3 linked regions of the Neurospora crassa OR74A genome follow. The protein of the gene in region 3 interacts with the protein of the main gene of each other region in a pairwise test. Links are inferred from orthologs where the notes say so. Each region holds a gene or a part of one and is shown on either strand. Other genes may lie near its edges.

Region 1 (4,227 bases), on a different chromosome or scaffold from region 3:
TTCGTAAAAACAGCACCCATTTCCATCTTCCCCCGCTTTTTTGTCCTGTTCCCTCTTCCATTGCCATTCTCCAGTAGCGGCCTATCCTCTGCCGTAGCTGCCGAACGCAAAATAGAAGACATGTAAAGTTGATACAAGAACTAGTGTAACACGAGAAAGGAAAGACATTGAGAAAAAGGGTAAGAGAAGATAGAAAAATGACATTGCAAGAAAAAAGGGAAAAAAAACTCCATTTCCACCCAAACCTTGCCCCGTCCGCATCCAACATCCGGTTTCGCCTTCGTTTCCAAACGAGCCACGGTTTTTGGTGTGTCGCATTACGAGTCCCGTGGGTGGTCGAGAAGAAAGTGTAACGTTAATGTGGGTATAAAACGCCGACTCAAAAGAAAGATAGATAAAAGAAAAAAAACCACTTCATGATTTTGTTTTGTACTGGCGGTTCACACGCCAAATCCTCTCTTTTCAAAAAGACGAAGAAAAACCTCAACTCCATCCCCGACCCATTCAAGCCCGCTCATAGCAAAATCAAGTAATTGCTCGGCGCAATACCCGTTTCTCCATTCTCCTTCCGTGCCTGCCACCACCGCCCGCTCACGTCGCTAATCTCCAGCACCTCATGCTTGGAGAAACTAATCTCGTTGGCATCGTCCGGGTTGGCCTCATAGCTGAATATCGCCTTGGCCCTGTACGGGTACTCCGTCGGCGGAACGATCTCCCCTTCTCCTTGCGGCTTGGGGATGTTGTTGGACGAGAAACCCTGGGGAATCTGCGACTGGCGAGCGGGGTTTTCGAGCCCGTTGAGCTGACCCGTGTACATTTGCGGAGGCTGGAGGCCCGAGGCCGAGGTTTCAGGGCGCATGTTGTAGGAGCCGTAAGCATTGGGAGAGGAGAGACCGTTGTGGTTCATGGTTTGGCGGCTCATGTGATGCGCAGGGAGGGTGGATTCCTTGGTCAGCGCAAAGGAGTCGATGTAGGCACGGGGAACAGCCGATGGGGCGGAGCCAAAGTAGAATATCCAGATGATCTGGCGGGACGTTAGCAAATGGGGTCAGCCAGCTGGGGGAAGTTAGCGGGGAACCGCATACCGTCACCATGGACAACAAGATATACCCAGCCGCTGTCGCCTCCATGGACGCAACGCCACTGTAAATCAGGTTGTTGATCGACGACGTGGAGCCGACCAGCCCGACGGCCAGGTAGCCAACGATGGCGACATGGTAGGTCTGAGCGCTGTCCGAGGCGATGACGATGAAAATGCCGAGAATGAGGAAGAAGTTGAAGACGAGGGTGAACCAGCTGTAGGTTGGCCAAACAATGACGGGAGCCCCATTCGATCCGTCATTTTGGTCCCTAAAGCCAAAGATGGATCCAAACAGGATGATGATCCATGACAGCTGTGGTGATTGTCAGTTCGTGAAGGCGACAGGACGGGAAAAGGGTGGACGCCAGCGCGCGCGCGTATGGAAACTCACAGTAGCAATAGAAGTAGTGGCCAGAGCAAATGGGTCACCAATAATGTTGCCCATGTCTATGCCTTTTCGGCGGTACGAGTTCCTGCCGTGTTCCATTTTGGGGTTGTTGAAGGACGGGGGATAGTTAACCGATCCTCCGTACGATTGCATCAAGGGCGAAGGTCGCCAAGGAAGAGCGTCCTCTCGGGATATTCGAGGTCCGTGTTATAAGTGATGGACCGACGTGTGTGGGACACTTTAGTTGACGCACACCTTCACTTGGGGTATAAGATGACGGCGAGGGGCCGTGTGTGTGTCGTATTCCGGGGACCAGTCCGCGGTTGGTAATGCGATGTGTTTGTTCTGCAATGACAGATGCAATGTCACGAAAAAAAAAAGAGAGGAAGTTCGACGGCGACAAGTGGTCGAAGTCGAAGCAAGAAATTCGGGTCGGGTAGCAATTGTCGTTTGCTGCAAGACGTTGAGCGAGGAATTCGGTGTCCAGCAACGCGGTATGGCTCGTCTCGGTCGTTGCAAATATGGGTAGGTAGTAATTGGGCGATGTATGGAAATGAGTCGAAGGTAGGACAGTTGCAATGTTATTGAAAGATTGGGTGGTCGCTGTCGGGCTGCTCCGTCGGGTGTTTGTTGGTTGGCAATCCGCAAAGAGGAGGCTGAGTCCAAGGGAAGTGGCCGTCGGGTACTCCAAGGACACTCAAGACGAGGACAGAGCCTTTGAATCTTCAGGGGAAATAAGCAACGAGTCGGTCGCACGGGTCGGGAGATGTGACGGTACGGTAGTTGTCCGTTGGAACGAATGGCGGCGGCGGTACGGTATGGGTAGATACGGTAAACACGCAAGATCAATCGGTAGTTGGAAGAAGGGCGGTAGAAGAGTCCACTGGAAGTCTGGAAATGGTCCTGGATTCCTTTTTCCTGTTTTCTTTCTTCTTTTGTTTCCCTTTTTCTTTGTTTGTCCGGTGTATGACGGTAGTCGGGTGTGATATCTCGGTACCTGCCAACGTCGTATTGTACTATCCCCCCGTCTTGTTCCGGTTCGCGTTAATAAAGGGCTCAGCTCAGCTCAGGGTCGGACAATCGTATGCTGTCGTCGTCGTCGTCGTCGTCGTCGTCGTCGAGGTTGATGAGGTTGAGGGAACGAAGGGAGCGATTGATGGATTGAGCAAATTGTTGTTGGACGTGGCTGGGGCGATGATCAACGCCGGCCAATGGAGAAGTGAAAGGGAAGAAAAATTGAAGGAGGGAACGAACAGAAATGAGGGGATCGCACGGGCAGGACGGACGGACGGGGACGTGAAAAGGGAAATGGTGTGTGTGTGGGTGTGGGTGACGACGGCTGGGTGGTGGTGGGAGATCCGGAATGGAAGGCCAACGACGGGGCCTGGCTGAGGGACTCCGGGGCGGGCAGCAACCGGGGGGGGATGAGGTGGCTGCTGCTGTGGAAACGAGTGGACGAGACCGCGCAAGAGAAGTGAGGAAGGGACCAACAATGGAGCCCACTGAATCCACTGAAGATGGGGGGGAGCCATGTCCGCTGTGGAGGCTCTGGACTCCTGGAGTGCGTTGCCTGGCGGCTGCTCGCTGCACAATGAATGAATCCTTCCCTTGCAGTGACATAGGTACAATGTCCGGGCAACACGCGGCAACACTGCGAACGAGCCAATCGCATTATTGCATTTGCTGGGCTAATGAATGCAATGTCCAGTCAGAAGAGGCACGGTCCTCAATCTCACTGCAAATCGTTAGGCCAAGACATTCCAGGCGCTGCTTACCTACTGTACCTCTAGCGGCTGTGTGGGGACGGGAGCATGGAGCAAATTAGAGGTACACAGACACAGGGCGGGCTACTGTAGCAGCTCGATTTCTTTTTCTGCACTTTTTGACAGTCTTTGTAGCTGATGGTGGTGATTGATGGGGAGTCATACCTACCTAGAGGTAGACTCTGCTTGGGTGATTAACCTGTTCAAAGTGAATGATGGCTCTAGGGTACTGGGTCATGGCCAGGACATCTTTATTTTTATTCTTGTTTTCTTCTTCCATCTTGATATATCTTACCTCGACACTGTTCAAACTCATAGTCAAAAAGTCTCAAACATTCACAACATTGTAACACTCGGAAGTCAGTCAGGCAGCTAGCCATGTGGCTTGCGTCTGTGCTCCATTCACTCATTGCTAGGTCGTCCAGAAACATCGTGACCGACTGTAAATGATAGGCTGAGAGCTGGCTACCATGCGACATCACTCAGCTGAGCTCGGTGACGGGCAGAAAATGTCAACAGAGAGACGGATTCACCATGCCACGAATCCACACCCATGCAGCATGCAGGCAGGGGCTTTAGGCTCGCCGCGTGAGTTCTAGGGCAACGCCGTTCGTTTCGGAATCCCATCTGCAGGAGCCAAACAATCACTGCCGGCTATCAAGCGTGTTTGTGACGTTTGTAAAAAGCCTCTCCCGTGAATTCTCATTCCAGATAGAGCGCTACCACAGCACCGTCGATCTGGTTTTTGTCGGTGCTAACGGCGAGCAGAGTGTTGATATCGGCTGAACATTCCAGTGGGCCAAAGATGACGCCCGACTCCCGCGCATCTGTCGCGTGATATCTGCCGCGCAATGACATCTGCCCCATTCCCTTGGTCACTAGCATTGTTCTCGTACGAATGTGCCAACCACTGTTGATCTGCTCTTCACACTTCGTAAAGTGCACGCGCGCTACCAACGGCGTGTCGTATTCCATACGCACAACCCCAGTGATTT
Region 2 (4,197 bases), on a different chromosome or scaffold from region 3:
CGCGGGTTGTTGCGCAGGCGCTTGCGCCGGGCAAGCCAGAAGTAGACAGCCAGACTGATGCAGAAGACACCGATAAGGGCGGCGGAGCCGTAGACCCAGACCATGGTGGCGGCTGACTTGCCGAATGTGGGCAGGAAGGAGGGCAGCCAGGTGCTGTTTGCAGGAGTGGTGGTCTCCGAGGTTTGTTCGTCAGAGGTGGGCGAGGGGTTGGGGGCGTCGGTGGGAGTTGGTTTCGAGTTGACGGGGCGGTTGGGATGGTCGGACACGGTGCTGGGCTTGGTGTCGGTGGCGATGGGTTGAGGTGGTAGGGTGGTCGTGGTAGCGGGGAGGGTGGTCGTGGGGATGGCGGCGTGGTCGTTGTCGTCTTCCTCGGTCGGCATCGGGAGTACCTTGGCCTTGGAGGCGTCCTTGCTCTCGCCCCAAAGCTTTAGATGCCAATCGGTGAAGACGCCCTCGTGACTGTTAATTTGGGTGTCTTTAACGATGATTGTCCAGTTACCGACGCCGGTTTCACCCCTGGTTATGTACAGGTTAGCAAAGATTACCTCGGATAATTGCGGTAACGCGTGCGCTTACCAGTGAACGACACTCATGAATGTCCAGTCATCATAGCCAGCGCGGGCCTCATCGTTCTTCCGGCTGACCGAAAGATGGCTGACCAGATTGTTAGGGCTGATGAGATCAACACTAAGATCTCCTCGTCTAGTATGCATGATGTTCATGGTAACCGTAATATGTTCCAGGCGCTCGACGTTGGCCTCATCCAGCATTGCCTGCGTAACTTCATAGCTGACGGCAACTCCCGTGTCTCCCTGGGGAATTGCTTTATTGACATGGATCCAAGGAGAGTAGAACCAGGCCTGAGGCTTCACCTTCTTCCAGGTCTTGGCTGCCTGAACAATGGCGTAGCTGTCGAGTTTGCCGTAGCCATACATATGGCTGAATTGTTTGCCAATAGCAGTCGTCTGCCACTCGCCGCTGTCAAGGTTGATAGGAACAGCAGTGTTCACGGTAAGATACTGCATATCTCTCCATGAGAGATCTGGGCGAACCTGCAGAACAAGAGCAAAGATACCAGCTGCGAGCGGAGCGGCAGCTGAGGTACCACCGTGAGTATCAGAACAAGCATTCCCAACGTCAGTCGTGTGGATCGAATCACCACCGCCGCTGGAGTATGTCACGACCAGATTCGCGGAACACGATTCAGAGTAATAGGGATGGTCGCCGTTTCTGTCAACGGCTCCGACGGTGATGCTGTAGATGCTGTTGGTGTAGCCATCGAAATTGCAATTATCTCCGTTTCCTGCACCATTGCCGCTGGCAAAGACATAGATTGAGCCCAGCCCACCACGGCCCTTCTGGACGGCATTGAGCATAGCCCTCTTGATGAGAATTCCGGGAGCATCCATACTCTGCCCGTCATCAGGGGGTCCCCAGGAGCACGAATAAATCTGATTGTGCTGAAAGTCGTAGTTCATAGCAACGGCTTCATCAGCGTCAGATATCAGCTTTGACAAGATACGCAGGCCGGCAATCCTGGAGTCATATGCTACTCCCACACCGCAGGCTTTGTTCTTCCCGGCCGAAACTTCACCGGCACAGCGAGTTCCGTGTTTATCGTCGCTTAATCGGGGCTTTGGATCAGGACCCTTGTCGTTAAAGTCCCATGACCCTTGGGCATAGTAGTTGTCTTTCAAGTCATCGGTTTCCATATCCAAGCCATCGTCGACAATGGCGACGGTGGCGTTTTTTCCAGTGACGCCTTCGAGCCAAAGCCCGGTAACATTCACGTCGTGCCCAGTCTGGACAGTGTTGAAAAGATGCCACTGCTCCTTGAATATGGGATCTCTGATGCCCAAATTCCCGATAACTTCGTTTTGCTTCTTGACTGCCCAGTCAACCTCTTGATCGGAAAAGAGACCCCTTCTAGAGGGTCCTACTGGTCGGGGGACCATGCGCTTCTCCCAAGGTTTCCGCAAAATTTGCTTCTCTGAAAAGAGAACACTATCCAGAACATGGGGCTCGTCGCCTAATGATCGTTTTCGGCGCCGGCGCTCCGTCAATTCTCTCTTGACGATATCGTGCTCGGCTTTCCTCCCAACAAAGAGATGGTGATCCTGGAGTTCACCAAGGGGCCCCTCATGAGACAATCCTAGGCTCCTGGCAACTTCAGTAGGTGACGTTCGGGCATCGAGATGAAGAACATAGTAATCGTTCGAATCGAAGTCGCGGGGGAGGACATTGGACGCTATAGCCAGAGCGGCCAAGCCCAGCGGCGTTGCGATAGCCGAGAGCTTCATAGCTGAGTTCGGGTAAATGATCTGGAGCGGCCCAAGGTCGGTCTACTTCGCAGGGGATGCGCAAGGTTGTGTAAGTGTTTTCAGTTGGTTGCGGTGTCGAGCACCAAAGACGAATTTGTACGACCGGCTCGTGTAGGTATATAGAGACAAGCAGAACAGTGTCTTATTCGATCTCAAATATGGCAGAATAGTAGCGCCAGGGATAGCAACGGTGTTGGCCAATAATCAGAATGATGTTACGAAGACGGCATCGGCTCCCGGCGACTGAGAAGAGACTGGAAGGTCGAATCGAAAGCTCGTCCCTGTCGAACGGACATGGAGGCTTCGCGCGGAACTGGTCAGACAGCTATTTATTGCATAAGCAACGGAATCAAGGAGGGAGAGGGCACAGCATACAGGACGAAGCCCAGTCGCGACCGTAGCAGCGGTCGAGAATCAGATAGGCCCACTGAGCAATCCTGTATAGGCTGGGAATGAAAAAGGCGGCACAGTTTCCCCGTCTCACCACAAAAAAGATTAGGAAGATGGGTTGATTTGAAGATGGAGAATTCACTTGTTGGAAGTTCAGTTCGGCAATCTGGCGATGTGGCCTAGTTGAAAACCATCCCGCCACAGCGCAGGGGTAATGCACACAGACGGGCTGCGCAAGTGGCCCGGGCAACAGGCTGGAACCGGTTGGTACCTAGGTAGGTAGGCAGGTACAGGGCAGCTGCCAAGCGAGAAACAACACCTCCAGGGGCAGAGAGAAGGACGGAACCTACCTACCTCAAGAGGTATGGACCCTGAATGAGGCGGCAGTTCTGGTGGGGCCGAGACTCTAGGGGCCCCTTGTAAGGGGGGCCCGGGCCCCCATGGGGCAGGAGCAGTGTCAGCATTCCACATGTATTCTGCGCCGTTACAAGATGTTGATTTACACCCCTCGACACCATAGAACCGTCTTTATACCAATCATACCTTGTCTTGTTGGAACGATCACCGAGATTTACCTTTGCTCAGTTTTCCATGTTCAAGGCGCTGCTCAGGGATGGGGTTTCGGTAATGTTCCGTACCTAGTGCACTGTCAAACGTCCCATCTTCCGGGTTTCGTCTTGTCTTCAACCGACATTCCAGCCGTATTCGCCATGCGAGACAAGACGAAACTTTGAAGATCATCTATGCTCAAAAATTCCCACTATCATCGATGGTATCTTGGGGAAAATTTAGTATACTGTGCATATCTCAGCCTTTGGTTCCGACACAGATGGTAACGACGACAGCATTTCCATTGACGCCTCCCATATCATGCATGGCGGTAGAGGTGGACGGTCTTCACGTTGCCTGCGGAAAACAACGTGGCTTCGAAACATGTTTGTGAAACGAGGCGTTTGCGTATGGGTTGGGCCTTTCCGCTTTCTCACCTCAATAAGGATGAATGGCTTCTATGATGGTGTTGCTCCCTTGGTACTCGTTCGGCATTGTCAAAGAATCGAAGAGGCTTTACGCCAACGCCAACGGGCAGGTCACCGAACCCGGCCAAACAACCACAGACAACTCAAAGTCGTGTAAAGGGAGACTGAAGGCAAGATGGTGGGCTGTATCGATGTGAACCACTATACCTACCTACCTACCTACTTCTTTGTTTTGCCTCTAGTAACCTCAAGCAATCTTCTACTAAGCAACGCGGCGCTTGTACCAGTATCATGGAGCCGTAAAGGTAGGTACCTCTGGTTACCCAGTGGTACGGCTCTTAAGCGTCATGTATAAGACAAGTACCCCGGCCACCACTCTCCTGGGACAACCTGATTACATACCACAACACTCCGGGCACTGTACAGGTCAGTGCTGACTCTGTAGGGCCACGTTCCGTCGTTAGATGCTCAACGATGTCTTTGTGCGGGCAGTCGAGCAGCATAGCAAG
Region 3 (4,054 bases):
GGCTATGAAATTTGCTTTCTAGATTCTTCAGGATAGATGTTCGTCCTGGGGTTTTTTTTTTCTTTTTTTTTTTTTTTTCTTACGTTAGTTATGTTACGATAGTCTTCACATGGATGCTTTTCGGGTCAAATCTGATGCACAAAAAAGTGTTCTTCACCGTGTATGGTCCCTTCTGATTAATGGGGCATAGGATTTGCGAACATAGGAAAAGGGGTGTTGATGTTTTTACGTCAATTTGGAATGGTTCATTGTGCAGATCAATCTCAAGATAAGATGGTACTCAAATTGCCTAAAGCCTTAACATCACGATACGTGACTTGTTATTTTATGTAATGTGTAAGTATTGCATGGCGCGTTGAGGTTAGATGCCTCTGTATATAGTACCGTTGGTCCTGTGCACAAATGTGTGATGTTTTCTGTATCATAAAATACCCAAGCCAAAACCCGTACCAGCTTGCCTGCCAAGGATATCAGAAACGCCGATAGTCTATAAGAATAACCAAGTCAACATTTCACCCAAGAGCTACCACTTAACTAATCACGATCTCCCCCCAGGCTGCCTACTAGAACTACCCTTCCCCGGTTTTTGCTCCTCTTCATCATCACTAGCACCACCAATGCTATACCTACTATCCGCATGCGGGTCCTCCGGCTTGCTCAAGTGCAAATCATCCAACTCGCTCTCGTCAAAATCCTGCGCTTCAACATCCCTCCTCCCGCTTCTCTTGTTCCTAAAACCTGCCAATCCTTGACCTCTCGTCCTATCTCCACCACCACTAAGGTTCCCACGAGGTCCCGGGTTGTTAGAAATGCTATGTCTCTCGCCCGTAGCAACACCCATATACCCCTGCCCAGCAGTCTTTCTCCTTTCTTTCCAGACAAACCATCCCCACACGCCCGCAGCAACAATGACAATCACCAGAACCAGCTCGCCTGACTTGCGGTAGGCTTCCCACTTGGCCATCTCCAACTTGGCCTTCTCGGCCGCTTGGTTGCTCGTGCTATTCCCTGCTGCGCCGCCGACCGTCGTTTCGGGTAACTTCTCCCCGTCGAGCCTCGAGTCCGTAGGCTGTCCGCCAATGCTACTGATATCCACGCCCATGAACCGATCCAGCATGTCGCGCGTGCGGCGGGGGTAATCGAAGGGGACCATGTGGCTGGAGTTGTAAAAGAGCACGTAGGTGAGGTTGCGCGCTTGTTGCCAGAAGCCGGCCGGTTCGCCTTCGAAGGTCCAGTCGCGCCGCGGCGCCCAGGTTCCCGGGGTGAGTTCGAAGCCCTTGCCGCCGTTCCATTCCATGTTGGAGATCAAGGCTTCGGTGCCCAGGTGGTTGCAGATGAGGTCTTCGGCGCCGGAGAAGAGCAGGATGGGAACGCCGGCGGAGAGGATGTCGGGAAGCAAGGTGATGGACGGCTTGGTCTTGGGGTTAAAGTTCATGCCTACCTGGCCGTTGCATTCAGTCCAGCCGGTAGACTTGTTATCGTTGATGTTGAGGGCCTTGATGACTTCCTTCTTGCGGAGGTAGGGGGTTACGCTCTTGAGGTCGGGGGGCCAGGCCATGCCGCATGAGGGGTAGTCGTCCTTCAGGCGGACGTCGTACATGTTGTAGCATTGGTTCTTGCCGCTGGCGCCGACGCCGCCAGCAGTCAGTTGGAGCATGTCTTGCAAAATAGCTTCGCATTCGGGGTAGTCGATCTTGTCGGGCTTGACGGCGATTTCCTTTTGGCAGATACGCTGTTGGATTTCGAGCTTGTTGGCGAGGTCGGTACCCTTCTTGACGATGTCCTTCTCGTAGGCAAACTGGAGGTAGGCGTCGTATTGCTCTTTGGGGGAAACCCAGCCGTTGCCGATGAGGAGGCCCGAGAGGTTCCATTTGCGATTGACGGGACCAGCGTTCTTGTTACGTTCGAGAATAGCTTGGGCGATGTAGGGAATGTGCTGACCGGCGTAAGACTCTCCGGCAATGTAAAGCTGAGAAATCGGTTAGACAGAACGAATCGAAGAGGTTCAGAGTGTGGCACCTACATCGTCATGCTCGTACTCTGGGAACAGAGCGAACCACCTCTCCAAAAAGGTAACAAAGTTGGCGGCCATCTCGGTCAACTCGTGGATATAGGCGTTGGTGTCGACATAACTGAAGCCAGTGCCGACGGGGTTGTCGACGAACAAGACGTTGGCGAACTCGTTCCATGCGCCATCGTTGTATACCAAGGTGTTTTCGTCCTTCAGTCTGTAGGGACCAATCTCCATCAATGCGCCATCCTCGGAACTGCAACCAGGACCACCATTTAGCCAGATGACGGTTCGTTGTTTGTTGGCGATATGTTTGTTCTGGAAGTGCCAGAAGAACAGGTTGCCGTTGTTATCAGGGGTGACCTCGATATGTCTAGTTGTGAGAACATGTCAGCCTTGGTGTTCCCCAACATATTGGATTCGCGCAGCAACAGTGAACTTACCCGGCATGCATCTTCACCAGAGGACCATCTGGTGCGCCTGGCAGATCATGGACAAAGTAGTCGGCGGAGCCAGCAGCGGCGACGAAGCTGGATGTCCATGACAGCGTGAATGCCGCGATTAGAGTCGACAGTCGTTTCCAGCTAGCCATAGACCGGCCAGCATTGGTGGTAGTGGTGGTGGCGGCCATGATCACCAACTGGACTCAAGTCGCTGGGTTCAGTTGTGGTGGGTGGGATGGAGGAGGAGACAATTGTCGTAAGTTTGGCTACCTATCACCACCAACCACATTCATGGGGGAGGATAGAAGAAGGCCGACGACAACGGCAAAAGTTGTAGGAACTCTGAAAAGGTCGAGATGTTGCTCCGAGACAGCATCCATGGATGAAACGGTAAAGAGGGAATCTGTCCTTGGGGCGGACGGACAATAGTGTACAACGTGGGATGAATGCCACTGCGGCACGGATAGTGGCGTTCCATTTCAGCTAGACCTCACAGGGGGCAATCTCATTACAAGTAAGGGACCCTGTTAGTGGTATTGGGCGATCCCGGTATGCTAGCTTAACACATAGCTGGGGGGCCTGGTCTTCTCTTCCATGCAGTCACTCAGTCCATGCGCCTCGTGGATGGACGCGCAAGCCAGTTCCATTCTCCTTCCTTCGATTATCCAACCTAAGCAATGTCGATATCGAAAGATAATACTCTTAATGTCCTTGTCTGCTATATTCTAATGCCTCAAGAACTTATTGTATAGTTATGGAATCGGGGACAGAGTTCTAATTACACACCAACTTACTCGCTATGAGAGCTTCCAAGGTTGTTTCCAGATCTTCAGGCACCGCATCTGGACGTGAATAAACGGAGCCTTATTCAGCCACTAACATGACTTGACAGAGTGTAAACCTCTTCGACAACTTTACTCCCTGATGGTTGACAAAGAGCAGCCCTAGAGGAAAACATCAGACGAAAGTTTCTAAATCCGGATATCGGCAAGAACTGAACAGCTGCTCATAAAATCGGCCCAGACCTGAACAACCGAGCGATTGTCCGCGAGCACGACTCATCTCGGCAGTCAAGCGTGAGCTCCTCGTATATACGATTACAAGTTCATCCACACTCTCCCCAGGTGTATGAGACAACAATTAGACATAACAATCAGACATGTACATGATCCCTCAGTTCGGACAGCCCCTACCGCCGGGATCTCTGCCGGAATGATGATATAAGACATTGCGGGGCCGGCTTCCGAGAACGGGCAAGGCAACCCGGGCCCGGATCGCCGAACTGAATCACCGTTACGGCATGCCGTCCATCTTGGCACGGAGAACCCCACCAAGCCATCAGAAAGCTCCACCAAGAAAATGTTAGTCTTGGCCTTGTGAGATCGTCCAAACACTTACACACAAACTTAACCCTCACTTTGACCTTTTTGATATCCTTGAATATCTTGGTCCCAGCACAACTTTTGAGCCGGTTTTTGAATTCCTACTCCAGCTACCGTAGTAATGGCCGCCACCAAGAAGACCTACATCGTCGAGCACCTCGATGAGGAGCTGGGCCCCTGGTCCGAGCTCGAGTACCTCGCTATCGCCAAGGAATCGC

What was found.
Region 1: the proteins of NCU04316 (region 3) and NCU08067 interact in a protein complementation assay, tested with the Saccharomyces cerevisiae proteins (2 studies listed by BioGRID). The link is inferred for Neurospora crassa OR74A from reciprocal best matches to the Saccharomyces cerevisiae genes KEX1 and SHO1.
Region 2: the proteins of NCU04316 (region 3) and NCU03219 interact in binary tests that used the Saccharomyces cerevisiae proteins (3 or more experiments, as listed by UniProt). The link is inferred for Neurospora crassa OR74A from reciprocal best matches to the Saccharomyces cerevisiae genes KEX1 and KEX2.

What each region holds. Positions count from the first base shown.
Region 1 is NC_026501.1:156,674-160,900, reverse strand, and holds the start of NCU08067 (osmosensor protein), read right to left. Parts: upstream 2,865-4,227; 5' UTR 1,623-2,864; coding exon 1,473-1,622; intron 1,395-1,472; coding exon 1,086-1,394; intron 1,025-1,085; coding exon 515-1,024; 3' UTR 1-514. UniProt on the Saccharomyces cerevisiae protein: Plasma membrane osmosensor that activates the high osmolarity glycerol (HOG) MAPK signaling pathway in response to high osmolarity.
Region 2 is NC_026501.1:4,941,410-4,945,606, forward strand, and holds the start of NCU03219 (Kex2), read right to left. Parts: upstream 2,875-4,197; 5' UTR 2,697-2,874; exon of another isoform or gene 2,647-2,696; 5' UTR 2,301-2,646; coding exon 577-2,300; intron 517-576; coding exon 1-516.
Region 3 is NC_026505.1:5,592,418-5,596,471, forward strand, and holds NCU04316 (pheromone processing carboxypeptidase Kex1), read right to left. Parts: upstream 2,880-4,054; 5' UTR 2,643-2,879; coding exon 2,455-2,642; intron 2,385-2,454; coding exon 2,024-2,384; intron 1,970-2,023; coding exon 539-1,969; 3' UTR 320-538; downstream 1-319. Other genes in the region: NCU04317 (DUF431 domain-containing protein), read left to right, coding at 3,958-4,054.